Alligator mississippiensis: one gene and its partners. The protein of the gene in region 4 purifies or fractionates together with the protein of the main gene of each other region. This does not show direct contact. Links are inferred from orthologs where the notes say so. Each region holds a gene or a part of one and is shown on either strand. Other genes may lie near its edges.

Region 1 (7,530 bases), on a different chromosome or scaffold from region 4:
GATTCAAGGGTCTTTTCCTCTACAATCTCAAACTGTTGAATATTCAGTACATCTTTAACACCCTGGTAGAGGGTTTTTTTAAAAAAAACAAAACAAAAACCAACAAACAACTAGCCCAGCTGTGAGGCTCTGTTCCAAACAAATCAACCAACCATAAAGCAAATTAATTCAGTTTGAATGCTGAATGCCATCTACTAGCCAGGCTGCTGCAGAAACAAAGTATTCCTTAAAATTAAAAGTACTTTTTTTCTGAAACCCGCTCAGTGCTTCATGAATTACTAAAATATCCCCGAATGCAGTTATCAGAGAACCAGAAGTCTGAATACAATCTACAAAATGTACACACATTGGGTCATAGTATAATGCGTTCTGGTATGCTCTCCATGAACCAGAAAGCATCGTGTGGATTTCAGAAATCAAGAAAATGGTTTTAAAAAGTTCCTTACAACCTATTCCTGGCTAAGTGCCCCTCCCCACTTGCCACTGCCTGGTTAGCAGTGCATTCAGAACTGCAGAACAGGAATGTGATCAACTCAAATATCACTAGTGTTTTCAAGCTTATTTTTAAGGGCACTTAACTGCAACACAAAAATCCTCCTATTTTCCTAATACCACAGAAGAAGTTTCGTTAAAATGAGAAACTAGAAACCAATGTACTTGACAAAAAAAGTTTCTAGTCAAGGTAACTGCATGCATATTTTAGATAAAGCAAATACGATAATAAGTTCCAAGTGAGAATGCCTTGGTAAATCACCACTTAAAACTTTTTATCTTAAAAATTCAATGAATCCCTGGCTGCTCTGGTCACTGTGGTTATATAAGGGGCACTGATATCCATGGGTCATTTGAAAGAAACTTATCAGATGTCCCCCCAAACAGCAGATGACAAATGATGTCCATCAATGCACCCCTATATTTAAAAGGAGTTGCCACAAGAATCAGCAGCGTCATATTAACCAAATGAGTATTACTGAAAACAAGGCAATTTCACACTCTTCAGGGATACGCAGTTTGGGAACTACAATTTCTTAAGGGTGAACAGAGTAAGTATCACTACAGTAACTGTCTAAACTGTTTCATATCCAGTTGAAAATATTATTTCTTTCCTAGGCTCAGATTTTTTAGTTGTACATCCCACTCTGCCTTAACCAGTTTTTTAGAAATAGCTCAAGCTCCACTTCAGAGAAAAATCATTGCTGTTTCCTTTCTTTAAAACAAAAAAAAAAAAGAAGGAAATAGATACCAACTTAGATGTTTTACATGTTAGCCAACACACAGTTTTCATTGCTCATCGAAGATACAGGTTAACACATTGATGCTAGAAGAAAATATGTATGTATGTACATATGTACATATAAAAATAAAATCTGGGACTGCTTCAAAGTATAATCCACCAACTATTTAGTTTGCTGTATTTCTGCAGGCTGATCAAAACAAGATGGCTCACTCCTCAATGACATTTTTTCTTTTCCTCAAAGGTAGAAAACTGCAACAGTTAGACCCATTCTACAGCTCAAGTGTAGCGAGAGCGCCATACTGCTGTCTAAGGTCAAGTATTTAACAAGTCCCCAAAATCTCCAAGAGTGTTTAAACCAGAAGCATTAACTCTGAAACAGATCTACATTGCTGTTAAACTGTGACTTTATCTTGTTTTGCACATTAGACCTAAGCAGCCCTTGCTCAAACCTGCTGAAGCTTGATTTACACTTCACAGTAAGACTGCCACGGTCTTAGCGCAGCGCTTGTCAAGCTACAGTAAATGGCAAACATTTACAGCAGTGGTTTTCAACCTGTGGTCCATGGACCCTTGGGGGTCTGTGGACTACGTCTAAGGGGTCTGCAAAAGATGACTATGATCAATCAAAAGTCTGTGAAAACCCACACGTACCATTCAACGGGACTGCACCTCCACTCAGAAATTCCTAAGGGGTCCACACACGAACAAAGGTTGAAAACCACTGGTCTAGAACAGCATTTCTCAACCTTTTTACATGACAGGCATCCCTTGGAAAATACTGGCTCTTAATTTTCACTTGTGCTTTGACTACAGAAGAATAGAGCGATTATTCTGCAAGGAACACCGAAACACCACAACAAGTCAGCATATTCTTAAACACTCTGGATTCCCATTTGAAATCCCTGCCTTTATCTTGAAAATTGTGTCTGCACACCTAACAGGGCTAACACTGCACGGCACCCTGCTGTACCCTCAAAAGGCTCTCAGGACACCCCAGGATGCCATGCTGCCCCGGTTGAGAATCATTCATCTACAGAGAGGAACAAGAAAGCAGAACAAGGGAAAGGGAAATGTCAACGGGTACAAGGGAACTAGAGGGAGGAAGAAAATAAGTCTACAGTCTTTCTCCTTCAGTTGCTGTAGAGGTGACATCACATCTGCGGGGACCAAATTTTGTTTTTAATTCTCTATCACTTGGAAACGCAGGGGTACACACCAGTACTAAAAACTTAAGAGCCGCGTGAGCCAAAAGAGTTGAAGGGGCATCACGTTAGCGTTTTAGCTCCGCTACGGCACCCGCGTGTTGCCACCGCATCCCACAGGGTTTCACACCGCAGGAGGCTAAACCTACGTCTTCGAAGCTCTGCGCGTGTGCCCGGGTCTCCAGGCAGACAACGCGTCTCCCACCCGCGGGCACGCCCCGGGAGGGGTCACCTGACAGCTAAGCCGGAGGGATGAAAACAGGGAAAATAAAAGCAAAAAAAGTGAGCAGGAGAACGCCAGGGCAGCGAGCGGGGGGACCCGCTCCAGCCTGCGAGGCCCCGCTTCCCCTTCACCCCGCCGGCAGCCCGCACAAGGCAGAAAGAGCAGCTCAAGCGAGCCATGATGCTTCAGCGCAAGGAGCCCTCAGCTCCCCCCCACCCGCCTTCAGCACAGGGGTCTCCCCCCTGCGACATGGGGGTCTCCCCCTGGCCTCAGCACAGGGCCACCTCCTCACAACATGGGGCTCTGCCCCTGCCCCCCACAAACACAGCCCCCTCCCCCCTCAGCACAGGGCCCCACCCCCACCCTGGGGGTCCCGGCTGGGCGGGGGCGGGCGCGCACCTGTGGGCCGGGATGCGCTGCGAGCCGCGGCCCTTGCCCACCAGGAAGTGCACGTCGCTGAGCACCTCGTTGTTGAAGAGGAAGGCGAAGCGCTCCTGCACCGTGGGCTTGGTGGCCTGCCAGTTGTACACGGGCTCCCGCTGCAGCGCGCCCGCCCCGCACAGCGCCGCCGCCGCCGCCGGGCCCGCGCCCCCGCCCCCCGCCGCCGGGTTGGCGGCGCCGCACTGGTTGTAGGTGAGGCCCGGCGGCGACGCGGGGGGGCCCGGGGCGGCGGCGGCGCCGTTGCCCGGCGGGGGCGGCGGCGGCTGCGGGCAGGAGGACGACAGGCCCCCGGGGCCCGCGCCGCTCCCACCGGCCGCCATCTTGTGCGCAGCAGGCGCAGGCGCGCGCGGGGCGGGCGGGGGGCGGGGCGGCAACAGCACCAGCACCAGCAGCAGCGGCGGCCGGGCGGGGCCGGGGGGCGCCCCCTGCGGGGCGGGGGGGCAGCGCGCGCACAGCGCCGGGCAGCAGCGGCGCATGGGGGCGGGGCCGCGGCGCTGGGGGGGCGGGGCCGCCGGCCGAGGGGGCGGGGCCGCGGCGCGCGGGGCACGACGGGAGCAGCGGGCTCCCCTCAGGCGTGATGGGGTCGCGGCGCTGCACCGCGCAGGCTCGGAGCGCCCAAAATGTTCATTGCTTTTACATTTATTTTTTGTTTGGCAGAGGCAAAAAGCGATGAGCCCCACTGACCTTAAAAAAAAATAAGATAAACTCAAAAATGATCCCTTTCTGCCAGCTTTCGGGCTCAGGGAAAATGCAAGATGGTGCAAACGACCGCCTTTCCGTGCCCCTGAGCCTGAGGAAGGGCGCGGGGGGCCAGAAACATCGCTTGAAGATGGGCGCGGGGGGCCAAAAGCTTGCACGCACAAAAAAAAAGCTTGAAGGGCGCGTGTGGCCGAAAGTTTACAGAAATAGATCGTTTGAAGGACGCCACGTGTGGCCGAAAGCTTGCAAAAAAAGACTGCTTCAAGCAGGCCGCGTGTGGCCAAAAGCTTGCAGAGAAAGATAACTCATGATGGCTTCACGGGATCGTTTCTGAGGCGGCGGATGCCAACCCCAAGCGGCTCTGAGCGGTGCGTAGGCGAACGAGGCACGTGCCTATTGTCCCAAGTGAAGAAGGGGCCCGGTTGTGCTTATTTTACATATTACGATTATTAAGTGAAAAAAAGTAATAGAAAAAGTTCGGCTGGGGGCCCACGAGCGTGCTTGCCTGGGGCCCACTAAAGGGTTAATCCAGCCCTGGCGCTGAGAGTCCCCTTTTCATGTCCCAAGTCAAGTCGGCCAAACCAATCCCAAATCCACGTGAATCGTTCAGGAGCCGTGTGTGGCCCTGCTACTGGCAAGCACCCTTCACCCGCGACTGGGGCTTCAGATGTTTCCAAATCCTTTGGCGGGCGTCCTACGTGCAGGCCTGAGCCCAGAGGCTGCGGGTTCGGATGCCCCGAGTTTTGCTTGTCCTCAGCCGTACGGCGGCAGAAACAAGCTAGGGAGGAGTCGTCTCCTATTTCCATGAAGTCGGCGTGTAGCAGAGATCTTCCCACTGGAAGTGACAGTGGGAGGCTAACCATGCCTTGCCTCGGTGAGGGTACTACCCCCGTGCCACATTCATGGTTATCCCCTGTCAGTAGGAAAACCACCATGGTGAACCTGGTATTTCCCCTGCCTGGCACTGAGAATCGTCAGCACTTTCTTATGACGACTTGCCTCAAAATAAAGATATGCTTCTGCTTGGATGACCCAGTTCTCACTTACTCACTGCAGAGTTAAATAAGATTTATGTGCATACTTATTTATTTGCAGGGGGGGCGGTCAGTGTATGATAGTTTTGCAGCAAATACAAGAATTTTGAGCTTCCAATATGATGATTTCATATTTAAGAGCTGGCAAGGCTGCATGGGGGGAGGACACAGGTGCAGGTCACTGCAAGGGAGACAGTGCCCTGGGGTGCTGGCAGGGCAGAGGCCTGGAGGGGAGTGGGGGGCTGTGGGGAGGGAGCAGCTTGAGAGACCGGTGGGCACAGGCGGTGCCTCGGCTTGCCTTCTGCTGGCAGTCTCCGGGGAGCAGCTTGGCACCTGAGTATCCCCTACCAGGGCTGGTCAGGATCCACCTGTGCATCTGCAAGCAGAAAGCAGGGTAGAGTTGCACCTTGGAGACCAATGTAGATCTATACGTGTAGTATATGTTGTCTCACTAGGTATCTCTGGATCTACTATATATAACCAAAGTAGACGTGTAGTATAGATATAGATGCCCACACATATCTATCTAGATATCTAGCTTGGTTAGTATCTAAGGTGCAACTCTACTGTGCCCTCTGCTGGGATCTGCATATGTGGCCTCTGATCCAGCACTGGCATGGGATTATGGCATGCAAAGCACAGCACAGCCTTCAGGTGGATGATTGTGTACCTGTAGGACCCTGCTACACATTACATGTACAGATATTACACTACTGACTGATTAATTGTGCACTAAATTTAGATGGGCCACAGATGTAAGGTAGTTATCATGCAATTAACTGGTCAATGGCGCAATGAATTTAGACCACCTTCACTTGCAAAGTTATTATCACTTGCCCATCCAGGTACAAAGAGAGTCAACCAGCTACCAAGTTAGCGCTTGAAAATGTGTAACAACTCTAGCAGGTTTCTATCCAGCTTTAATTTGAACAAGTGGCAGGACCCATAGAGAGAGAACACATGCACAAGCTTTCAAGTTCACTTCAACAAATGTTTCAGCTCACCAAAGCCTGTGATAATATACATTTACTTCTACTTTGTTTAGTTTATAAGGTGCAAATCTATCTTGCCTGCTCCTTGACTGCAGACTAACACCTAACTACACCTCTATGCAGATGCAAGCCAGCTTCACAGTGATCGTTTTGGAAAACCCTGTCCCCCCACCAAACAATTTTCCAAGCTTCACAGCTGTTGTGGGAAAAAGGGTATTTCACACCAGCCTGGTACCTCCCCTAATCACATGCTGCTGCCATCTCACTGTGGCCCTCAAACCTCCCAGTGGGAATGTTAGCAAGCTTGCTCCTTGCTGCCCTGTGGGATAACAGCAGGCTGTGGGCACTGACTGGCAGATAACAACAGATTTTTGTCTTGGAGCCAGCTGTTATTGCTAGGTAGAAAATGGCTTGAAGGTCAGGATGAATCTGAAAGGCAGAGGATGGGTGGAGAAATTCATTAGGAGACAAGACAGTTGCACAGGTCTGAATTCAGCGGCCAAACTATTAAAGCAGGGTGGTTTATTATTCATCAAGATGTGATCAATGTTCCCTGCTCACCTCTCTTACCTATTCTACCCTCAGATGTGTATGCCCGTGCATTAGATCCCTGCTTCCACTGGCTCAGAAACTGCTCAGCCCCCGGGGATGTATTATCTTCCTGTACTGTTTTCCTATGGCTTTCATTATCATTTGCCTAATACATCCTGACATGGCATTTGTATTGGCCCAGAGCTGCAAGAACGGTGTGGCTTAGGCGTTTCAGACAGACATCACTACAAGCAGCTATTGCCAAGGAATACTGTGGCAGTATCATTTCAGAGAGAGGTAGTTAGCTGTATCAGGCGGAAGACAGGGTAGATTTTCACTTTTATAAACTAACTAAATCAGAGAAGTATATTATAGTATAAGCTTTCCTAAACAGAAGCCTTTCTTCATCAGAGGTTGTGAAGGATCACCTCTCAGCCGCAAGAGAAAGGTGATCTTGTAGCCGTCTACAAACTCATTGGGGGGGACAGCAGGAAATAGGGGATATGATGTTTACCAGGGCATCCATCGGGGTCACTAGAAACAATGGCCACAAACTAAAGGAGAGCAAATTTAGATGGGACATCAGGAAAAAAATCTTTACAGTGAGGGTTGCCAAAATATGGAATACGCTTCCAAGGGAGGTGGTGCTGTCCCCTTCCTTGGAGGTATTTAAAAGGAGATTGGACAAACACCTAGCTGGGGTCATCTGAACCCAGCACTCTTTCCTGCCCGGGGCAGGGGGTTGGACTTGATGATCTAATAGGTTCTTTCCGACTCTAAAATCTATGAATCTATGAATAAGGGACTGCAGAAAGCCGAGCTACTAAACAAAAGCAGTGATTTGAATACAAAGGGTAGGGACGTGGGGATGAAACAGTAGGGGCACTTCTGAGAAAGGCAAGGTGAGTAGGAGAGGGAAAGCCAAAAGAGTTAACCCACAGAGGGAGGTCGGGCCTATAAAAGCTAATCCAGATAAAGGGATAAAACTCTGTAGTCTCAATTTAAAGCAATCCAGTCTGCGGATGATTTCTTGTTCCACCGTTTTCTGTTCACATTCGTTTTTAAAGTTCTGATGTCTAAAAAACCAGTCAAGTCCAGCAATGGCATGAATGTCCAGCAAGGTTAAAGTGGTTTGATGCCATTTAGGAGTAGCTGTTTAATCCTGCTGTGT
Region 2 (7,550 bases), on a different chromosome or scaffold from region 4:
CACAAGAGACATCTGAGGGAACCTTGGAACTAGGAACCTTGTAGCTGCCTATAAGTTTATCAACAGAGGACAATGGGGAATTGAAGATGCACAATTTACCAGAGCACCCCTAGGAGTAACTAGGAATAATGAATGCAAACTAGTGAAGAGAAGATTCAGGTTGGACATTAGGAAGACATTTTTTACAGTAAGGGTGGCCAGAATCTGGAATGGGCTTCCAAGAGAGGTGGTACTATCACCTAACTTGTAGGTCTTCAAGAGGAGGCTTGATAGACACCTGGCTGGGGTCATCTGACCTTGGTCCTCTTTCCTGCCAGGGGCAGGGGGTCAGACATGATGATCCTTTGTGGTCCCTTCTGAATCTATTAATTAAAGCACAAGTGTAGACCTGCCCGCTGTGTCTTCCCACCAAAGTTTCCATTTCTAAACCAGAGTTTGGCCATGATTCAGCATGAAGTTAAGGGAGTGAAAGGTCCATGCTGGGCCATTTTCCTGTCACTTGCTTCTAAATTATTAGAGGATCAAACACCAGGATCAGTTATGGACTCACAATGACATTTATTCAATCAAAGTAGAAAGGGAAGATTGAAACCCCCACAGAAGGCAGGCAGGAAGGAAAGATCACTCGTAGCACTGACAAATCCACTCCATGACTGTTGGGCCTGGTTATTCAGAGTGTATTCTGGGACCATTTGTTTTTTAATTGCTTCCAGTTCCTGGGGAGCAAAAGTGATGAAGCACCCAATGCCCTTCTGAGATCTGAAGCCTTACTCCAGAAAACATAAGCAGATGAGTGAGAGGAAAGACTAATCAGTGTGTTCATATTGTAATGAAGGCAAGAGGAAAGAAACTAGTAGACCTCTGTAACATAATGTGATGCTCCACCATAGTTCATGTCACTTTCAATACATTAGTTCAATTAACAATTCGAAGTGTGAAAAAGGAAAAATCTCAGCAGTCAGAGGCAGATATTGTGTATCCAGCAACTGCCCAAGACAAAGTTTCATACCATGTGTGAGGTTTAGTCTCCTGTTTCTGTCTCTGAGTCACTGATGTCATGCTATGTTCTCTCTAATGTGTCTTTCCTTTCCTCTGGGAGGAAGGTGTGGCTCATAAAGGACAGAGTGTCCAGGTAAAGAAGGAGATAAGTAGATAATGTTACCTTCTTTCTCTCAGGGCAGGGGCAGCTTGATGGGAAAGATCTTGGGATAGGAGGAGGTTCAGTTTTGCTAGGGTTACGCAGTTTTTTTCCCTAATGTTTTTGGTTTGTTGGAATTCTTAATTGCTTCCATGTCCTGGTGAGAATCAAGTTGCTCAGATGTTACACTCTTTAAAATTACAAGAATAAGTACAAACTAATATAGTCCAAGAAAGCAAAACCTTCCATTAGCAAAGATCCAGGCACTGTGAAGCAAAAGGCCCAATTACCTCTACATATACCACCAAATCAGGACCCTCCCTTATAATATTGCTACCCTCAAAGTACAGAAAGGGCTTCAGTCATGTTCCAGATACTTTAACCCTGTCCAAGCAGAATGAAGTGTTAGACATGTCTAAAATTGTGATTGCTACTGGGCCTGTGACTTGTTTGAATTTATACCATCACTGGGACCCAGTAATACAAGTAATAACATTATTATATTAAAATTATTCTTTCCTGTTGTCTTCTGACTGCATAAGGGTTTCTCAAAAGCTTTTATCTTTCAGGTCTGTTTCTTTCTGTGACTTGCACAACATCCAGCACAGTTGGCTCTTAACAAATTATGTAAGAATGGTAATTGCCAAGGTACCTGTTGAGTTTCCAAAGGGAAAATCAGGACAGTGTTAGTGTTTGATTTAAAAAAAAGCCCCTCATGTTTGTTTAAAGATTAATTAATCACTTCCACTCTAGTTAGGTGGAAAGTCCATAGGTTACTGTGCCTAATCTCTTCTGGGCCACTTTCCGGTTAACACCTCAGGAAGGTGAGCAGGATAGGAAAAGGGAGTTTCACATCTTAGCTGGAAACAACTTTCTGCAAAGTTAGCACAACAGGATCACAGTTTGTTCTTTACTTTGGGACTGTTTCATATTCCATTGAAGTCAATGGGAATTTTTCCATCTCATCCCTACCTTTTCAGTGGAAAGGTAAGAATCTATATTTTTTTAATTCTGAGGAAAACAGTAGAGGTTAAGATGGAAGTAATATAATCAGTACTTTTTGCTATCTATTATTTAACTTTACAGGTTCCTCTTTCCTTTGTAGTCTCTAGGAAACTGTGAATACTGCTGAACACACTTCCCTTTCCTGTATACAGTAAGAAGTCTTTTCCCCCCGTTAGGTTCCTGAGGGATCTAGTTTAACAGGTCCTCGGGATTTCATGAGTCTTGTATCCTGATGACAGATGCTAGTTTGAATGATTATGAATTGATTCAGCACTGAAAAGGATGCTGTGTTTTGGGTTTTTTTTTTGCAGAAGATGATTGAAAATTATGTGCAGAGGCTGACATATACAATAATGTAGTGGGAGCTAAGTGTTTTCCATGGGTGGGTATAGTTTTTCCCCACCTAATAAGTTGCTATATCCAATATGTTATGTTTGTCATATAGGGTGTAAGTGACTGATGCAACATTATTATATTCCAGTAGGAAGAAAAATATTTTTATCTATACATAGGTGTCCATTGCAGCAATAGTATCTTTTGAGAACTGCACACACAGATATCGTAGGATTTGTATGTATAAGCTGGTGGTAGGGATGACTATTCTGAATGGTTATAGGAGTAGCATGTTAAGGACCCACCAAGGTGCAGTGCAAAGTAGTGATAGCTTAGGTCTGTTTTATCCTCCATTGCTGCATGTTGTAAAGTACCAGTTATCAGTTCAGAGACCAGAGAATCCTAATGGTCTCTGAAGTGATCTTGCAACTTGAATTTGAGCTAGACTGCATCTTGTATTTCTTGAATTTGCTTTAGCTACATTCTAAATGCATGTTTTTCCTTGATCTCTAATATGCAGCTGCAACTTCTTGTGGATGTTTCTAACATTTTTCAATTTATGTAGTACAGTTCTTGGTTACTATAAAGCCCTTTTTGGACCTCACCAGACATCTATTATTAGTGTTGTTGTTGTTTAGGTTTAGGTGACACAAACTTCACAAATCAACAGGCTTAACAGGTCTGGATAAACATGGTTCCCTTGTAGTAGTGTGGCAGTTGACTCTGAATTAATATACCTTACTCCTTCCCTCCCTACTTCTGCCTGGCTTAGACCATAGTTTCTCAACTTGTGGTACACATACCCCTGGCAGTACACAAGACACAGGCAAGGGGTATGCAGGTACCCCAACACTATCTCTTTCTCACCTTCTTTTCCTCTCTCTCTCTCTCTCTTTCTTTCTCTCCCCATCTTCCTCTCTCTCTTGCCCCTTCCTGCTCTCAAAACTATGGCAAAAAAATTGGAATAAAAAAAATTGGAATAAACTCCCCAATAATAATTTGGCATGCCATGCTTTGTGCGGCACTGGGTTCAGCCTTCCTAGCTTTGGCCAACATCACCTCTAGCCCAGGTACATACTTGAGTTGTGCACCCCTGGTGTAAAAGGTGGCAACCCTACCCACACCAGATCAGACATCTGTCATATCATGGCCTTATATACACAGCCCTTCTTCCAACACGTTAGTCTGCAAATATAAAATCCCTGGGAAAATTGAGTGTTGGGGTACTCATTAAAATTTTCAGCAGTCAGGGGATACTTGCTACTTAAAAGGTTGAAAATCACTGGCTTAGACTACAAGCAGAGACTGTTTTTGAAAACAACCCTAGAAAGTAGTCTTGTGAGGGTCAGATAGCTCTGTGTGGGAACACTAACTGAAGCCCATACCGACATCACAAAATTATATCCTATGCACCCGTTTATCACTCAAACAAAAAATAAAACCGATAAACAAGGTTGTCTAGGAAACCTACATTTAAGAACCTGATAAATTGTTATCAAATGATATGTCAGAAGCTTTCTGTAAACTTCTGTGTGTGACCAAACTGGTCTTCACATATAGGCCTAGGACAGTGATTCTCAGTCAGGGTGCCACGTATCCTGGGGTGCCTTAGATCCTTTCAAGGGTGCCACGGGGCACCACACAACGTTAGTACTGTTAGATATGCAAACACGATCCACAAAATAAACCCAGAGATTTCAACTAGGAATCCGAAGTGTTAAAATCATTCTGCCCAGGTGTGGTCTTTGTTAGTTCTTTTCAATGGCAGAACAGCTCTCTCTCTCTTATTTTTCTGTAGTTATAAAAAACAAGGGAAAAATGGCCACTGGTATTTGCCAAGAGATGCCTTGAGGCTATCAGGGTTGAGAACCACCAGCTTAGAAAACATGTTTGATAACAGGCTGCTTTGCTGGCCTCCTTTTCCTGTCGAGATTTGGGGCTGTCCAGGTAAGCATTATTGTGGCAGGGACAAAACCTTGCTACTTTCTCTTTGATTTCTCTCCCTAACACAGCTGCCACGGGGGTGCTTGTCAGCGCAGCTGCCTCAGTGACGCTGCAGAGTTAAGACTTCACTTTTTAAGGGACGACTTCTTGTCTTCAGCAAGAGCCAGAGCCTTCCCATGCCTGGTCATGGTCCATCTTCACAGTCCTGCCAAGAGTCACACAGATGTTGGGCACTGCGCTCCCTGCTGAGGCGAGAGGGCTGGCGTAACCCCCCCTGGGCTTCCAGCTTGGCTGCTTAAATGAATCCTTGCTCACGTGAGCCCAAAGCAGTGGCCGCAGAGCTGGCTCGTGCATGACAGTCTTAGGTAGAGGTTTGGATGTACAGTTGGGATAGGGCTGAGCCTGCCTCAGGCACGGGGGGCTGGACGAGACGACCTGGAGGCCCCTTCCAGCCCGGCTTCTCCGTGACGAGGAAGGACGGGCCCTGGGCCGTGCAGGGGAGCCAGGAGGCCCTTCGCAGAGGGCGGCGCTGCAGCAGGCGGAGGCGTAGCCCGGCGCGTCGGGGCCTGTTTCCTGCGCAGCCTCACGCGGCAGCCCCGGCCCGCGGCTAGAGCGAGGCCGGGCGGGGAGGCGGGGAGGGCGCGCTGCAGCCGGGCGGGCGGGGAGCGGAGGCCGCGGGAGCCCAGGTGAGGGCCGCGGGGAGGGTGGTGCCGGGGCTCTGGCTGGTCGCGGCCCCCCGCCCGGGGCGCCAGGGCCCGGGGCAGGTGGATGCGGCGTAGCTGGGGCGCCGTCACTGCCTCCCGTGCGGTCCTCGGGCAGCGCCCCGGGGTGCCAGGGGTCCCTTTCCAGGCTGCGCCAGCGCCGTGCACCCCATAAGCCCAGAGACGCCCCTGGGGCCCGCAGCTCTGTCATGCTTCCGGCCTCCAAAAAAGCAAGTGAAAGCCAAGAGCTGGCACTTTTCAAGGGGGCCTCAAAGGTTTCGAGGCGCTGGCGCTGGGAAGCGTATGGGCAGGTGGGGCTGGGCCATCCCTTCCCTGGAGTTGATTTGGTGCCAACCAGACTGGCCCTCAGATGCCGGCACTGGAATAGCCTCCAGGGCTGTGGGTAGGGGTGGCCATCATAGAGGACAGTCTGGTTATCCTGTGTTCTCTGTTGGTACAAAACCAGATGCCTTTATGTCCTCTGTTTTTTCTCTTGAAGAGAAAAAGAGAGGGCATGAAGGCGTCCGGTTCCGTATCAATAGTGGACAGAGTAGCAGAAAGCCGGAACGTCCTCTGTGACGGCCACCCCAGCTGCGGGTGAGGATGGGCAGACGGCAGCAAGGCTGTGCAGGCGTGCTGGATAGGCTGGGTGCTGCCAGAGCTACGTCAAGCCCTGTCTGGGAAAGGTAGAGGGTGCGCCAAGCCAGTTCGGGGATGCTATATGAGGAAGCTTGCTTGTTGCCCACCTAACGCCATTTGGCGCTAGAGAGTTGTTGGTGACATTCATTCACAAATTAAAAATAAAACAGCCTGTTACAGTATCAGCTAGTTTCCATGGAGGGTACTTGAGATTTGCTGCTGACGTTTTCTGCTTCGTACGCTCCTATACTAGACCAAGGAGGAAGGCTGAGTAGGAGGCTCTCCACTTTGGACGGAAAGGATCACTTTGAAAACCTAGTTCAGAGCGTTACAACGTGGGGTCAAATTAATTCTGTCCCAACATCTCTTTGTAAATGATCCAGAAAAGCATGAAGTCTTCCAGTATTTGCTGTGTCACTACAGCATCTAGAAGCATGATCTAAGAGTCCAGGAGAGTTGATTGCATGTGTTCAGAAGCTATTTTTCAATGACAGTGCTTGATGAGGCCGTGTTCTAATTAAGCCACAAAAGCACTTGGCCTTTTCCCTAGCTGAGCCTGACCAGAGATATCATGAAGTAACAAGGGCTTCTGCAAAGACTAGTGTTGCATTTTAAAGTTGCACAAATGTGCTTCGTCCGGATTAGTAAATTTTAAACTCGGTTATTTTGTAAAAACAGATTTGCTAGAACAGATAACCCAGTGCTTTAAGAGCCACACATTTTCACAGAGGCACAAAGTGCAGTTTATTGAACCGTGTTTCCTCCTCACATCATTGGATGCAAAAAGCCAGCGCTGCAGTGATGAAGGGTAGCACAAGCATAGCCTCATAATCAGGGCACATTACACTGCAGTTCTCTTTTTTAGCCATAAGCAGTGACAATTACAGCTTCCTTACTTTGTTTGCTTTTTCTGCTCAGACAGAATGGTCCCTGCCAACCAGCCGAAGGAAAAGAAGCACATGAAGGCTCATGAGCATCAGCCAGAGGAAGAGGCAAAGTCAGCTGAGAAAAGGAAACGAGAATCTGGAGAACTAGAGAATGAGCCACAAGCAAAGAGACTGTTTGTGAGAAAAGCTATGAAACCCCCAGAGAATACAGGTATATCTCCCTTGGGCTCTCATTTTCTTTTTTGCCCACAAGGCCTAATTTGAACAAACTATCAGCCAAATCTTCAGATAGCTGGCATAGGAAGATATCAAGGAGCCAACAACTTGTTCAGACAGGAGCATTGGGATTGGCTTATGTTTCTACATGAGGGGTGGATAATATAAATATTTTTCCCCCAGTAATCTGTTTAGAGACTGCAGTGAGCTTGCACATATAGCATTTTCTTGAAAGTCACAGCTCATCACTATAAAATGGGGCTCAAGGAAGTTTACATAGATTTAGCTTTGTGAAATTTTTGAATGGCTGAATTTTTGCTTCCTTGTAGGCAGGCAATCCTGGTAATAGTTTTTTTTTCATGTTAATTCCTCACACTGTTTCATAACTGACAGGTTAGTAATACACACCATGCTATTTACACCAGCCTTTCCACCTGGATATCATGCTGCAGCCAACAGTAAGCTGTTTCATAGAGCTGGGTGCCAGTTCTAGCCAGGTGCTACATTTTTCTGCCGCTATTCTTTAAGGTCCTGTCCAGAGAAACAAGGGCTAATTCTTTTGTGTTGATATTCAGTGATCAGTCCCAGGAACCTTTGTAGACTTGCATTAAGGACTCTGTGTCTCTATACATTCAGGGCTGTCACTCTTAAGCTATATTTTGCTTATGGGATCTCCAGAGATATTTA
Region 3 (7,742 bases), on a different chromosome or scaffold from region 4:
ATTGTTGTTTTTAAAAATGTGACTAGGTTAGATTTCTAGGCCTCGAGGCTCTGGTAAAGTTACGTTTGGCAGCAAAGCCTGACCATTTGCTTACTAAACCTACTAAGCACCAGATCTAAGAGTGGGAGTCTAGTACAAGTAGATCTCTATATATAAAAGCCAGCATTCTGCAGGTCTCAGATCAGAAAAAAAAGATTCATACTTAAGAGAAAACAAAGAAGGAACTTAAGAAATACATACAAATTATTTAGAGAAGACAGGCAGAGCATTCCTGTTCATTTTCTCACACTAAGAACAAAAATGCAAGTGGTTTGAACCAGCAAGTTTTGAACCAACAATTAAGTTACTTAAGCAGTAGTCCATAAAACTCTGCAATAGGAGAAAGTTTGATTCATAAAGGGAGCTTGACATTTTCATGAAGGAGAACATCAAGTTACATTGGGATACAAAGCCTGAAGTGTTTGGAAAAAACAAACCCCCATGTTTCAGGCCATTACCAATCTTCCAATAAGAGATTAAAGAAACTTCTTGTACAGGAAAGTTGTCCCATAACTGCTTATTTTGGAGACTTTTTACATCTTTTGGACAATGATGGAGACATTATTAAACTAAATACACCTCAGATCTGATCAGTTTCAGCATCATCTTTCTTCCAAAAATGAAAGCTAGTCATAAAAAAATAAAACAGGAATTGTTTGCATGTGGAAACTGATTATACTTGTCTAATTTAAGCTCTGATACAAGAGTCTGACGTAGAGTTGAAAAGAAAAAGTTCTAAAAAGGTGAACTAAGTGTAAACCAAAGCAAAAGTTTCTTCCAATGACTAGAAGAAACTGGCTCCAGAGCCAGGAAGACAGGTACCACTGTTCAGAAGGTTACCAAGTATCAAGTATTAGGAATTAGGAGGTCTGTGGGAAATTGCTGCTCCTTCTATGGAGGAGCAAAACAACTCAGCAAAGTAAGCTTTTATCACACCCCAGAGGATTTATCTAGGATTTTCTTGTCTTTGTTTGTTTTGTTTTTGAAGTGACACAAAATAGGAAAGAGGTAACAAGCAATTTAGAGGGACAAGAAGGGACAAAGACTGACAATAAAACCAGAGAAGACTGTATCACCATTATGCCTACATGACACATAAAAATAGCCCTATTATGCTGAACAAACACTGCACACACAAGAATAGTCCTGTCTGGAGACTATGCAAGACAGGGGTGAGCAAAATGCAGCCCGTGGTCCAGATGCATCCCGCCAGGCACTTCTATCCGGCCTGTGGGACCCCTAAAAAATTTAGAAAATTAATATTTATCTGCCCCGGCTGCCTGTCATGCGGCCCTTGATGTCTTGTCAAAACTCAGTAAGCGATCCTCCACCCAGAATAATTGCCTGCCCCTGATGTAAGATGTACTAAACAAAAGGTGGAAATAAGTAGTTAATCTTCTGAAGATAGGAAGCAACTCTGCCTAGAAATGCAAGATCAGAAAGACATACAAAACAGGGAAACACCTAGTAACAGAGAATTTTAAAGAAGTGGATACCTCCTGTACAAGACTGAAGGAACACACAACCAATCTCCTAAGAATTGTGGATTGCTTAACAGTCCAATGGAGAAACATCCAACTACATAATTATAATTTTATAGCTATAATTAAGGTTTTGATCCTAAAACGGATCGTGCAGTCCTGTGCAGAAACTCTCTGGACTCAGTGGGGAATCCGTGCAGGTGGATTTATGCAAATGAAATTGTAAACCTATGTATTTAATTACCTTTTTAAATTGTAAAACTCTCCTACTGTTTGTAAGTAATAATATTATATGTTTGCTTGGTTTTGGTTTTTTTTTAAACAAACTCAGGGTAACTAACTGAATGAAACTAAGTTTCTCCAGTTCAGGAATCAAAAAGTCTTCTTTTTACACAAGCATAAATCCAGATCGAAGAGTAAAATCAATAACATCCATGGCCTCCATATGATCGCAGAAGGCAGAGTAGAGATGCACTCTATTGGCTAACCAAATCAGAGATGCATGAACTTTCTTGAGCATAAACTAACTTTACTACTACCTCTCTACATATTCATATCATGTCACAACTTGGCAGTGACATCAAGGTGCTTTACGAGGTTCTATAAAACAGGAATAAAGCTTGTGTTAGTATTAATTGTTGTTTTTAATCAAGAAATAGAAATGATCCATTAGTACTTAGAAACATTCTAACCATTGCATTTCTACTACAAGCATTAATAGTGTCAAAGAAAAATAGCTTCAGGAATCCAGGAATACTGTATTTTCTACATGACAGTAACACGAGGTGCCAAAAGAGGGACACAAGTTGCAAGTAATTAGAGGAAGAATTTTGTAAGTATACTAGCCAATTGCCCCTCTTAGGTTTTTATAATATTAGAATATTCCAAAAAAGGTTAATTCTAATAAAAATATATACAAACATGTACTTTAGTAAAGCTAGTCTTTTACAACAAATAAAAAGGAGTTAATAAATCATCTCTATGTAACATAGTTACACTAGAAAACTTGGGGATGCTTTCAGATAAGGCTTAAACAGAAATCTTGGCTCTGTCTACAAGCTCACTAAGGATCCCTAACACAGCAGTTCCCAAACTGTGGGTTGCGACTCTAAATTGGGACCCCGGGGGTGGGGGCTGTGGGTTGGGAGCAAGAGGCCATGCATGGGGTCATGCTGAGGAAAAACAAGTTCGGGAAGCCCTGCCTCAGCACTTATTGTACAAGCATGGTCCACTGAAGTGTTCCCGGTCGGCTCTACCCGCTCCCGTGGCCGGGCAGGAGGCGGAGGATTGTGGCTGCCACCCACCCTCTCTGGGTACATCTAAACCAGACGGTGCCACAAGACGCCAACCTGAGACGGCCCCTTTTCTGGTCGTGCCCAAGGTCAGCAAAGCTGCAGGCCTGCGCCTTGGCTCAAGTGCTTCACAGGCTCCGGAGCGGGAAGCAGGAGTCCAAACAAAACTTCCCGACTAGGCCCGAGGCGCGGAGATGCGGCGCAGCGGCCTCCCCTACCGGGAAAGCGGCATCCGGCGTCGCCCGGGCTGCTCCTCCCGTAGGCGGGAGCCCCGCTCCGAGGCACCCGCCACTCCCAGGCGAAAGCGAAAGTGGCCGGGCCTGGCCGGGCGGAGCCGGGGGTCCCCGCGCAGGCCCCTCCGCCGGCAGCAGGGGCGCAAGTGCGAAGGCCGCCGGCCCCGCCGCTGCCGGTCCCTGCCCCGCTCCCTCCTCACCGCGCTGCCATCACCGGCCGCTGCCCCGCGCCCGCCCGGCTCCACGCATTCCCGTCCCCGCGGCTACCGGAGCCGCTACTCACCGCCCGCCGGGCTCCCCCCGACAGCGGCCGGGGCGAGAGGGAACGGGCCGGGCGAGGACTCGCCCCCCCCCGCGCAGAGAGGGGCTTAGTACAGGCCGCACTACGGCGAGCGCGGAGGGCCCAAATTCATCCCGACTTCCGTTGCCGCAAAATAAATAAATAATTCCTCTTCCTGTAGGCCGGCGTCACGGGGCAGAGCCGCGGCCGCCTGCACATGCGCAGCACCGCCACCCCGCGGACGCGTAGGTCATGCAGGCCCTCCACCCTGCGTATGCGCCGCTGGTCTCCGTGTCGTGGTCTGCGCCTGCGCGAGTCCTGCTAGTAGCTGCTGGGTCGGTGTTGTGGGGTGGGCTGTCATTTCAGCCCGTGGCTGGCACGCGATGGGTAGCGGTAGAAGTGTTCAAGACGCATCATAATTTTGTAGGTATCCAGGTTGTAGTCGTATTGATCTACAGGAAAAGGCAATCAGGATTTGTAGTAGAGATGATATCTTTTATTAGACCAACAAGGTGTTTGCAAAAAATTAAAGATTTTTTTTTTTTTGCAAAAATCTCGTTGGTCTAATACAAGATACCATCTCTACTACGAGTCCTGATTGTCATAATTTTTGAGGCAGCTAGCTCACTGATGCAGCATATGCAAAACCCAAATCACTCCTCTCAGGGGGCTTAGCTGACTTTGGGGATTGCTGCTAGCACTTCCTTATGACCGGTTGCCTTGAAATAAAGAAATGCTTCAACTTTGACCCACTTTTCACTCATGCGCTGGGACTTGTAGTGAGCAATATAAAGTAAATAAAAAGGCATATTTGCATATTTTCATAGTTTTTCAGCAAATACAGTCATTTTGAGCTTCCAATACAATTATTAAATATTTAAGACCTGGCAACACTGGGCTTAGTTCATCTGGGATTAGCCGGCCTGGTGCCACAGTGGCCTGGGATACAGTGCTCATGTCACTGCTCCAGCTGGGACATAGGAAGAAACCCCCTCAGCAGGTAAATGCGGGCTAGGAGTTGCCCAGCTAGGGCTGATCCCCACTAGAAGCAACTGGCAGGCACCTGCCATCCACCCCATGGGCATTTGCCATACACGCACCAGCATGGTCAGCCCAACACCCAACCTGCCACAGCCATATGCCAAGGGCACTTGAAGGCAGGATGGTGTCTCTTACCAGCATCTGCATCCACCTCTGCTGCCCATCCCCTCGGTTCACACTGCAAGCAACTCCCCCAATGCCTTGCCTTTCTAGACCAGGCATGTTTCCAGCTCCTGTGAGCTAAGGACTGAGACAGAAAATAAAACAAGCTTGCAGTTTGCACATAGGTGAAGAATCTAGGTTCATGCCCCCTGCACCCTTATGAAAGAAAAAAACCCATGTGCAATTAAACTAGACCCTTAGCTTCACATTTCCACAGGATTCGGAATATTTTGTTGTCCAGGGAATTCTCACAGCTTCATACCACCCACCACCCCCACCAGGGACTCCTCTCTCTCCCTACTCTTCATATGTTGCAAACTCTTCCCAGAATCAGAGTAAGTGGGGCTGGAAGGGACCTCCAGAGGTTACCTAGTCCAGCCCCCAGCCTAAGGCAGGATCATCCCTATCCAAACCATGCCATACAACCCATCATCTAAACTTTCCATCAGTCTACCATCAACCCTGAAACAACACACTCCTAACACCCTAGCTTGCAACAGGTAAAGCAGGGGAACCACAGTAACCACTGTGCTGTTTCTGTGAAAGATTATTAATATATGCTCAAGAAAGCCCTGCTCCCACTACAAAGGAAGGCAACCCCCTCCCCCCAGTCTGTACCAATCTGACCATGAAGTCAAATTCCTTCTGGCCCCAAACATGTCTATTTGCCAGACCCTGAGCAGAGGGGCAAGTCCCTCTAGCCAGGAACCTCCAGCTTTGGTCCCACCAGGAACATTGGCACATCTCACCGAGCCACACCAAGAGAGTGGTAGTAGACAGGTCAGTATCAGCCTGGAAGGATGGTGGGTAGTGGAGTCTGGCAGGTTTCAGTACTTGGACCTGTACTCTTCAATATCTTCATCAGTGACTTGGATGTGGGTGTGAAGTGTACTCTGTCCAAGTTTGCAGATGTTACTAAATTGTGGGGTGAAGTGCACACTCTAGAGGGAAGGGAACAATTGCAGGCAGACCTGGACAGATTAGAAAAGTGGGCAGTACACAGTAGGATGTAGTACAAGAAGGACAAGTGCACAGTGCTACACCTAGGGCACAAAAATATCCAGCACACTTACTGGCTAGGAAGTGATTCTCTCAGCAGCACAGAAGCAGAAAGGGATCTCGGAGTCCTAGTGGAGTCCAAGATGAACATGAGTCATCAGTGTGACGAAATCATCGGCAAAGCTAACCGCACTTTATTGTGCATCAGCAGATGCATGACAAATAGAACCAAAGAGGTGATACTTCCCCTCTATGCAGCATTGGTCAGACCGCAGTTGGAGTACTGCATTCAGAGGAGGCCACTTGTATGGTTAGGGGCTTACAGGACAAGCCCTATGAGGAGAGAATGAGGGACCTGGACCTCTTCAGCCTCCGCAAGAGAAGGCTGACAGGTGATCTTGTGGCCACCTACAAATTCATTAGGGGGACGCAGCAAGGGATCGGAGATGTTCTGTTCACCAGGGCGCCTCTTGAGGTAACAAGGAACAATGGTCACAAACTGACAGAGAGCAGATTTAGGCTAGATATCAGAAAACTGCTTCATGGTAAGGGTGGCCAAAATTTGGAATGTGCTTCCAAGGAAGGTGGTGCTCTCCTTGGGGGTCTTTAAGACCTTGGGGGTCTTTAAGAGAAGTCTGGATAGGCATCTGGCTGGGGTCACCTGACCCCAGCACTCTTTCCTACCTAGGCAGGGGAATGGACTCGATGATCTGTTGAGGTCCCTTCCAACCCTAGCATCTATGAATCTATGTATACTTGTATAATATGTATATACTGTATTTATAGATTACTTTCCCTCAAATATCTTCTTACTGGCTCATTCAAACCTTGATTTTTCCCTTTCCTCATTCTAAATTTCTCCAGATTTCAACCTTTATTCTAGATTTTTCTTCCAAGAAGTACTTATGTGTTTCATTAACCAAAACAAACCCAATTACAGTTTACTTCTTTCCAACATATTTCATAGATTTCATAGACATTAGGGCTGGAAGGGACCTTGGAAGATCATCGAGTCCAGCCCCCTGCCCAAAGGGCAGGAAGTCAGCTGGGGTCATAGGATCCCAGCAAGATAGGCATCCAGTTTGCTCTTGAAGGTATTCAATGTAGGCGCTTGAACCACCCCTGGTGGCAGGCTGTTCCAGACCTTGGGGGCTCGGACAGTAAAGAAATTCTTCCTTATGTCCAGCCTGAAACGGTCTTGTAGTAGTTTATGACCGTTCAACCTATTCGTCATCCCTTGGGGTGCTCTGGTGAACAAACGTTCCCCCAGATACTGGTGGTCACCCCTGATAAACTTGTAGGTGGCCATCAGGTCACCCCTGAGCCTGTGCTTTTCCAGGCTAAAGAGCCCCAGGGCTCTCAGCCTGTCATCGTAGGGTCTGCTTCCCTGATCTCTGATCATGTGCGTGGCTCTTCTCTGGACTCTCTCAAGCTTCTCCACATCCTTTTTGAATTGTGGAGCCCAAAACTGGACGCAGTACTCCAGCTGCGGCCTCACCAAGGCCGAGTACAAGGCAACAATGACGTCCTGGGATTTGCTTGAGAAGCATCTATGGATGCAAGCCAGCGTTTTGGTCACTTTACTAGCCACAGCATCGCACTGCAGGCTCATGTTCATCTTGTGGTCAATGATGACCCCCAAGTCTCTTTCTTCCATAGTGCTAGCCAGCGTAGCACTGCCAAGCCTATAAGGATGCTGTGGGTTTTTCTTCCCAAGGTGGAGAACCTTGCATTTATCAGCGTTGAACACCATCAGGTTCTCGTCCGCCCACTTGCTGAGCCTGTCCAGGTCAGCCTTATACTTATACACATCACTTATCAGGTTTTTTTCTTTTAGAAATTGATACATTTGTTCAGTCTCCCTGACATAGTATATTTATCTTTTCCAAACAGACTATGCTACATTTGTTTGCCTTGGTCTAATCACCTGCTGCTCACCTAAGAAACCTCAGGAAACAAGGAAATGAATATCGCCACCTCCATCCAGCTAAGAGTGGTAGAGGAGCTCAGATACTGCACTTCCAGCTCCATTATTAGACAAAATTTTATAAGAAAATCTGGGAGGAAGGAAGTCCCTCTCTCACCTTTTACATATCTAGTTTCAGCTGATAGAACATCCACCTCGTGGAGCAACTGCTGCTATTGTGTGCAAAAAAGTGGGTGTGACTGTGCAGATGAAAAGGGCCTCCTCATGGTTTTCTGAAAGTCTGGCTGT
Region 4 (8,348 bases):
TTCAGACATCTCTTATGGGCAGCTGGTTTCCCTCTTATTTAATTTACTAACAAACTGCTTTATCTTACACCCACAGGATACCTTCACCATTGGTGATTTGACACAGGTGGTCTGTTTTGTTTTTGTTTTTTAATTACATAACATCTTTTTGGGATCCAGCTTGTGGAAGACAGTATACAAAGTGAAGTACCATACACATACGAGCTGTACTATTCTCTGTTTCAAAGGGAAGCACCAAGGAACAGCAGTTAATTTATTTTAACAAATCAATTTCTAATGCATCTCAATTTATTATTTTAAAAGTGTAACAATAGTGCAAATTGTAGAGACCTCTGTTCAGTAACTCATCAATGCTCCCAAAAATTTATTTAGCTGAACTGGTTATCTCAATCTGCGGAATGCCAGCCTATCCTTTCCCCTGCAGGAGACAAGAGCTGTCCAAACCTGCAAAAGCAGCCAATGCCACACTGTGAATAAAGGGACATCCTGCTTCACAGTGCGAGTCCAGCTTGTCAATAACTCATTTATCAAACATTAAAACAAACATGACATTTTTGTTGAACCACTGGCAAAAGCATTAGTCTATCCAGACTGCCTAAATGTAACAAGAAACAGATGTTTGCTCAAAGCCAAGAAAAACTTAATTTGCGTTGTAAGTCATGGTATTTTAGCCATTTTGGAACTGAAATTAGAAAAAGCTGAAACACATGAACATCCTAATATTTTCACAAAAGATGCGCCACAGGAAAGAATTTAAGCAACATTACAAGAACCGCACAATGAAAATGCAAGTGTCCAAAAGCAACACCTTTGGTAGCATGTCAGCATGCACTGCCTGAAGTTCTCAATGTTAAAACTAAATTAAGCCTATAAAGAAAGAAAAGTATCACTTACAAGACAGCAAGAACCCCTAAAGAATGTTCCTGCACATCCAGGGCACCAAGCACTGTATCCAGGTGGGAGAGATTTTTTGCTAGCAGTTCCCCGCTTTTATTGATCAGTTCACAAAGCTGGGTCATTTGCCCTAAAACATGAAATATTGCAGTCAATTTTCAATTACAACACCAAGCAAAGCACACTGAAAGGTCATGCGTTCCCTTATTTAACATCTCCTTGCTTTGCCTTTAAGCAAAAAAAATAAATAAATAAATAAGAGAGTCAACTAAGTTGTCTTCTAGCAGCAACCAAAATTTGAGACCAATTGAGGGGACCCCACAATAGCTTATCATTCAACACCCCTCCCAACCCCCCCCATCTGACTTATTGGCTGCAAAAAAGCCTTCAAAACCAAATAACAGAACATAAACCAATGCAGAGTCGGTTTCCCTAGTCTGCAGAGAGAATTACCAGCGTCTCAGGAGCTACTCTGTTTTTGATGAGCTGCAACAAAATGAAATTTAAAAGGCTCTGGCCAGTTTCTCTGCTATTTAAATCTTTTCTTTTCCCTACCAGCACCTAAGAAAATGGGAGAATCTACACACGAAAGTCCAAGGGCAGCTTCTTCCTCCTTGGGCATCCGAGCAATTCTTACAGGTTTGCCCATCGCACTTCTTACGTGCTGTATTCCAGCTAATGTTTTTAGAAAACAAATTCCAAGTAACACTTTAGGATAAAAATATATTTTCCTAATCTGTTTTCCCCCCAAGTTTACTTGCATATCTGACAATACTGCATATAGTCGCTTGTGATTTAGTCTTTGTGAGTTTTTGACAAGGCATGTGGAAAAGAAACATCTTAGACCTAGCATGCTTTCTCGATTTCTGAAGACGGGCAGGACTAAAAGGCGGATGCTATATTCGTAAAGTGCCTTGAATTCAGTTTTCAAAGGTACTGGGGTCTTCAATGGATGGCATCTGATGCAGCCACTGTTTCAGCTGTCAACGCTTCCAGATTAGATGTAAACAAAACAGTTTCGCATCACCGCCCAGTACCTTTGGGAGTAGGAGTCTATTCATGAATGGAAACACATGACTGCTCTTCTCAAATTCTCTCTGACCTTTTCCTCAGAGTCAAAATAAAACACCAACAAGGTTTAACAGTGAAAGGTTAACTTTCAAAGACGAGTGTGGTCCAAATAAAGGCCTGGACATCAAGAACCGATTCTAGCGTCAACTGTGCCAAGCAGCACGGCTCCGGGACTCTTGCCTCGCGCCCGCAGCCAGCTGACAAGAGCTGTTGAGCGGACTAATGTAAAACATGATGAGGTTCAATAACGGTACGCGTGTCGTGAACACGTGTTTTTCGATCCTTTTTCCTGCTGGCAGTTAAAAGTCAAAACGTTGCCGTCATCCACAAGCTTCACCGACAACCTTTCGTGTGAACAAAATCCTAAATAAAGGGCACTGCAGAAAACTCCCTTATATGCAAGGAGCTACAACGTGCAGCAATAGAAAACAAAACAAAACAAAACTCCAGCCCAATGCAAAAACAAGAGTCAGAGGCAAAAATTAAAAATTAAGAGAAAGCCTGTCTGACACGACTATGTTACGCGAGCTAATATGAAAAGGCAGCTATCTATTTCCACTCGTTAAACAGTGAATCGAAGAGACAGGGAAGCTCAGAAACCGGCACCGACTGTGCCCGGGAGCGCTAGGCCCACACAGGGAGGGGAAAAAAAAAAAGACTTAAAGACACCACTGAGAAAAATGACAATATTTCATAGATTTCCAGGGTCGGAAAGGGCCTGGTCCGAGCCCCTGCTCCACATTTTAATATTAAAATCTTTTTTTTCCTCTCACACTAGAGAAGTCCAGTTTGAAGCGACAAAACCTCCCATCGACAACCGCCTTTTTGTATCTTACGGCCGCCACCGAGCTCGCTTCCACCCAGGACAACTTGTACCACCTTTTCTCCCACGCCTGACGGGCAGTTTGCAATTGAAGACTGTTTTGGGCAGAAATCTCATTGGTCCCCTACAAGGTATCGCCTGGACCACGACCCCAGGCGCGGCCACGGGGCTGCTCTTCCCCGCGTGCTATTCTCCGGGGAAATTTCATTTTTTTTAAATAGAAACACCGCTGCCACAGTGCACAGCCTGCTCCCGACAGCCGCCATAAAACGGGTGATCGGGGCTACGAGGCCGGAGCCTGCTGCCCCGCAGCCGAGGGGGTATGTGGGAGAAGGGGCAGGCGGGGAGCCGGCCGGGGCCCAGCGCTGCGCTGACAGGCCCAGGGGTGGGGGGCTTCCGCCCCGTCTTCCCGCGCGCGCTGGCGGGCGGCCCCGCGGGAGACCGGGCCGAGGGAGCCGCCACGCCCCCACCCGCCCGCCGGTCACCTTGGGCCGAGAGCTGCCGGACGCTGTTAACGAACTGCTCCAGGGCAGACGCCATCTTGGCGGCTCGGGCGCGCGGCCGGGGCGGCCGGGGGAAGCGGGAAGGAGGCTCCGCGCGCGACGCGCCCCTTGCCAGCCAATCCCCCGCCGCCTCGGGCGCCGCGAGACCCGCGGCCGCGCGCGTCACTTCCGCCGCGTCGCCTCGCGAGAGCTGCACGGCCTCCTCCTGTCGCCGTTACCAGGGCGACCCCCGCCAGCCGGAAGTCGCCGGCTCTTGTAAACAGCCCCGCCCCCTCCCCGCCCTCGAGGCCATTTTACTTGGCAGAGTGGTGACTCAGCAGCTTGTGGTGTCGTCATCGCCGCCCTCACGTCACTGTGTCGTCACTGTCATGTTGCAAACATGGCCCCCAGCCCACCCACAGGGCAGCGCTGGCTGTCAGGAATGACAGGGCCCCTCTCCCTATTCAGACGCCTGTCCACGGGTCCTCGCATCTGTCATCGTGCTGACATCATGCCTACCTCATGCCACAACAACAGGCCTCAGTCACGGTTCTGACATCACACTTGCCCTCCAGGAATGAAACATGGATCCCCAGAGACAAACGGCTGAGAGTCACCCGGGAGATAAATGACCGGGCGTTCGTTAACACAAATAGTAAATGCCGATGTCCTTGGAAGACGTACAAAAAACTAGGACTCTGGGTTCCAAAATGAGAACTTTTATTAGATCAACTGGGAAATCGTGAGAAAACTGTCCTTTTCTGCAAGCTTTCGGGACCAAAGTCCCTTCGCGAGGCTCTGGGGAAAGTCCCCATCGGTAGGGAATAAGCTTCATTTTTGCACAGAGGGAGCTGAAGATGGAAGGCTGTCCCGCTGGGTCCACGAAAGCGCCAGCTATGTCCTCAGACCAACACGGCTACGACCAAAAACCCAGATCCAATCTATACAGTAGGCCAGTGGGTTTGTTAAATGTAATAGTAATGTGCCTGTGCCTTCCTGGCGTCAAGTCTACACACCAAAATCCATCGTGGATACGTACAAGCACGCGGGCACGTCTGCGTTGTGTGTCGCCGACATGTCGGCCTTCCCGAAATCTCCCGGAATAGATTCAAACTATTTGGCAACCCTACACGCACATCGCTCCATCGTCGTCCCGTCTCTTTCCATCATTTTCTGGCAGCTTTTCAAGAAACAAGCAATCAGGTGGTCACCTAGATTTGGGCCCATTGAGTACATTGGACAATACTTAGCATAGTTATGCGAGTTCCTGATTGAAATGACTGTTATAAACGCAATGACGAATTAATTATGTATCTATCATTCTTGAAAGCAAAAGGGATACCTACTTATCTGTCGACACTTTTGCCTCGCACTGATAAAAATCAGGTTTCTGCAGTGCTTGATTGTAATATGGTCGTACAATGCAAATAGCCGAGGGCTGCACATACTATACCACCTTTACCACAGCTTTTGGTGCAGAGAAATTCAACGTGTTTTCCAATGCTGCGATTACTTCACAAACAGAAGATGTATCTGGAATAAAAGTGGTGTTTACATCTACCATTTGAGATATAAATACCAATAAAAGCAATATTTACATCTACTATTTGAGATATAAATACCAATAAAAGCAATATTTACATCTACCATTTACATCTACCACTCATAGTAAAGTCAGCTCAAGTTATCTCTACCTGAGTTACTCCTTTCAAGGTGGCTGAGTTCAAGTGAGCGGATAGTTGTCAGCTAGCACACGTGTGCAGCACTGTTGACAGGATTCGGCACGCTTTGGCCCCCGACCATAGCATGAATACTTCAGTCGGTATAAATGGGAGCTCAGATTCCACCCTGTAGAGGAGAGCGGTACCATGTGAACCAGCATGAAGTTGCGAAGCACAGTATTCAGGAGTTGCCAAGTATAAGGCGTTCGTGCGAACAGAAGCAGTGTATTCTGATATACCACAAACATGAACAGGGTCTTTCTGCCCTGCAGTGTGAAAGCCATACACGGGCTATCATTGTTTTATCAGAAATGTCAGACGTGGGATGAAATATTGAGTCAGAGGAGAATATAGTCTTGAAACTATTAAACATCTTCCCTCCCAACCTTCTGTTATATTCAGCCTGACCTAGTGATTAGAACAACCTGGACTTTTGTTCCCTTTCTGTATTGCTGACTCACTCTGTGACCATGGGAGAGGCATTATACTTTCCTGTACCCCAGTGGTTCTTTTTGTAAAAGAAAAATAATAATAATAATAATGTTGTCCTTTGAAAAGAACGGTAGCGTCCAAAGATGAAAGTATGGAAGTGAACTATGGAAGTGCAAAGTATCAGTATGGCCAGCAATTGATATATCTCACCCCACTTGCCAATGTTAGCAGCTGCCTAATCTTTGTCACTCATGCATCTTTAACAGCTTAATCCTTCCAACTGTCATCTTTCGGTATTCATTTTTTATTATGGACCACAATACACACACTCTTCATGGTTGATTGTTACTGTGTCTGTCAGCAACGCAGCCTTACACATTTGTTTCCTCTCTGAATAGACTAACCTAAAACATCCCAAATGCAGGGGGGCTGGACCCGATGATCTTGTAAGGTCCCTCCAGCCCCTAACATCTATGAATCTATGAACCCACCTTCTGCATATGTACAGACCGCAGCTAGCTAAAAGAAAAAAACCTCTCTTCAGAACTCATTGTATGAGAATTTGCTCTGGGAAACAAAATGAAAGGGAGCAGGTTTTTATTATAACTATGAAATTCCTTCCCTTTCTACCTAGGTATCTTATTTAAAATCTTTCCATGGTAAAATTATATTTTAATTTCCATAAAGCCCTGTAGCCCAGAGGATCTAAAAATAAGGTACATTGTTATACATATATAAAAGTATAAGTAAGAACCATGTATATTCCATGAAGTTTGCTAGAATATACTGAAAAATCTCTTTACACACACACAGGTTTGCAGATGAGAGCCGTGTTTCATGACAGGTTTCTCTTCTCAGGTCTGTGAAAACACTAAAGGAACATGGTCCTTCCACAAAGAATTAGGCATTCTGTATCCAAAGAGTAAACTCTCAACTTGAGTCTCAAGACCAAATTAAAATCAGCATTAGTGTCTATTGATGACTGTGTCTGGACTCCCCATATTTCTGTGTCCACTTACACCATTGTTACGAAACTTAGTTCTCATTTATGGGCTAAGAGCTGATAAATCCGTTAAAGGGTGTAATGTTGTAATGTAAAGCCCCAGTGCTTCACGTGTCTTTCTGAGGTCCAGGAAACTGTGGTTGCTTCATTAAAACCACTGATATCCTTTCTGTGGAACAGATAGTGTTTGAAGACTCCAGCAGGTTACATTAGCCAGGATGAGCACAGTCCTGCCTATTAGCCCCCTCGCATACTTTAAGTCTCCCAGTCGTTCTGACAAATGAGGACCCATGTGAGGAGCAATCCTGCTTCATACTGGTCAGCATCAGAAGGTAACTGCAACTCCTGTTTCCTTTTTTTTTTTTTTTTAAAGAACATTTCTGTGATAGTTTAGCACTGATGAAAAGTGCTACCCTGACAGTCCTGAGCTCAGGAAAACCTCTGCCCACAGAAAATACAACAGAAGTATCCATGCTGGAAGCCTTCCCGCCGGATGCAATGCCTACCATCCATATGCTCAGCCACGACTTGTATGAATTCTGGGTTCATAAATTGTTGTGTCCTGTTAATACTTAGCTTCTTTGCTGTCACTAACGGTGACAATTAGGGCCAGCTCCGGTGTTTGTACATATTAATTATATGGACACTTATCTTCTGAGACCTGGAATGAGAGCCATCCAACATGTATCATTGACAATGGCTTTTGCTGACCTGACCAGCTTCAAACCAGCATATTAAAAAGGGTCTAAGGCTCATCACTAGTTCATCCTGACACTTAAGTTCCACCTGTATCCTTCATGCTGGCTGAAAGCCATGGAAAGCCATGGAAAGCTTTTTCAGGTTTGGCAGTTTTTGCTAAAAGTCCTTTTTTAAGCCATACGCTCTGTCAGACAACAGCTTCACTCATATTAGCCTGGAGCATTAGAAATTTATGCAGTTTAAGTCTCTGCACCCCAACCCCATGTTCTAGCAATAATCACAAAGTGGGTGTTGTCCTGGCCTGCAAGTGAAATCATCTATCTACTCTCCAAATCAAAGTATATACTTTACAACTCAGTTTGCATTCAACACATTTTATATGACAAAAATGCTTTATTTTTTACTGTATCCCAAAGCCATCTGGTGGGTGGATCAGAAGTCAGAAGTATATCACAATATTATTATGAATTTGGATTACTTTTGATTAATGATTATTAGAACAAGGATTAATGAGAAGATTTGGAGAGAATCCCTTACACAAACAAGTTCATGTCAACTGGATCCTGCGTGTGCCTCAGACAGGCCAGAAGAGTTTTTAGAGCGTGTGAAGCAACTTGGTGTTTGTGAGCAGAGCTGGGACCATATCGTGTGAAATACTGAAGAGTAAGATTTGGTCTTTACACATCACCATCTCCAGACTTTGGGGATGCTCAGGCGGGGAATCAAACTGTCGCTAGCCCTGTTTACTATGGCAGATCTACCAAGATCCCCGGTTCAGTGAGTGTCATTTGTCACAGTGTAGGGGTAAAGACAGATACATACAGTATACTGCGAGGACTGGACAGTAGAGATTTAATGATCTGAATACCGATTATCTTCCCAACTATTTAATCCAAACAGGATGCAGAACAAGCTGCCATCCTGCATAGCGTGGGATCACGGTGACTGAAAGGAAGAGAATGTTTCTGGTGACTGAGAGCAAGACTGAAATAATCACCACCCTGGAAAAGGTTGCATATCAGTTATGTATTATAAACATAGCTGTTTGCTTAATATGTACATATTAAAAATATAAACATTATACATGTTTCATGAGCCAAACACTGATTTGACGCTTCCCAAATAGTCTGGATAATCAAGGCTCTCCTGCAGTGGTTCTGAATTTGTATAGGATGGTTTGGATAGGGACGGTCCTGCCTTAGGCAGGGGGTTGGACTGGATGA

What was found.
Region 1: the proteins of COPS3 (region 4) and BTBD2 purify together in Homo sapiens (affinity purification with mass spectrometry; 3 studies listed by BioGRID and IntAct, counting the BioPlex papers as one, with this or other methods). This does not show direct contact. The link is inferred for Alligator mississippiensis from reciprocal best matches to the Homo sapiens genes COPS3 and BTBD2.
Region 2: the proteins of COPS3 (region 4) and DDB2 purify together in Homo sapiens (affinity purification with mass spectrometry; 7 studies listed by BioGRID and IntAct, with this or other methods). This does not show direct contact. The link is inferred for Alligator mississippiensis from reciprocal best matches to the Homo sapiens genes COPS3 and DDB2.
Region 3: the proteins of COPS3 (region 4) and CUL2 purify together in Homo sapiens (affinity purification with mass spectrometry; 5 studies listed by BioGRID and IntAct, counting the BioPlex papers as one, with this or other methods). This does not show direct contact. The link is inferred for Alligator mississippiensis from reciprocal best matches to the Homo sapiens genes COPS3 and CUL2.

The regions. Positions count from the first base shown.
Region 1 is NC_081839.1:7,379,196-7,386,725, reverse strand, and holds the start of BTBD2 (BTB/POZ domain-containing protein 2), read right to left. Parts: upstream 3,439-7,530; 5' UTR 3,424-3,438; coding exon 3,062-3,423; intron 1-3,061.
Region 2 is NC_081825.1:227,870,355-227,877,904, forward strand, and holds the start of DDB2 (DNA damage-binding protein 2), read left to right. Parts: upstream 1-4,245; 5' UTR 4,246-4,362; coding exon 4,363-4,423; intron 4,424-4,711; exon of another isoform or gene 4,712-4,772; coding exon of another isoform or gene 4,773-4,785; intron 4,786-5,001; exon of another isoform or gene 5,002-5,106; intron 5,107-6,678; coding exon 6,679-6,858; intron 6,859-7,550.
Region 3 is NC_081828.1:195,033,874-195,041,615, forward strand, and holds the start of CUL2 (cullin-2), read right to left. Parts: upstream 3,477-7,742; 5' UTR 3,329-3,476; intron 3,049-3,328; exon of another isoform or gene 3,031-3,048; intron 2,953-3,030; exon of another isoform or gene 2,870-2,952; intron 1-2,869.
Region 4 is NC_081836.1:54,423,318-54,431,665, forward strand, and holds the start of COPS3 (COP9 signalosome complex subunit 3), read right to left. Parts: upstream 3,399-8,348; 5' UTR 3,329-3,398; coding exon 3,274-3,328; intron 1,025-3,273; coding exon 895-1,024; intron 1-894. UniProt on the Homo sapiens protein: Component of the COP9 signalosome complex (CSN), a complex involved in various cellular and developmental processes.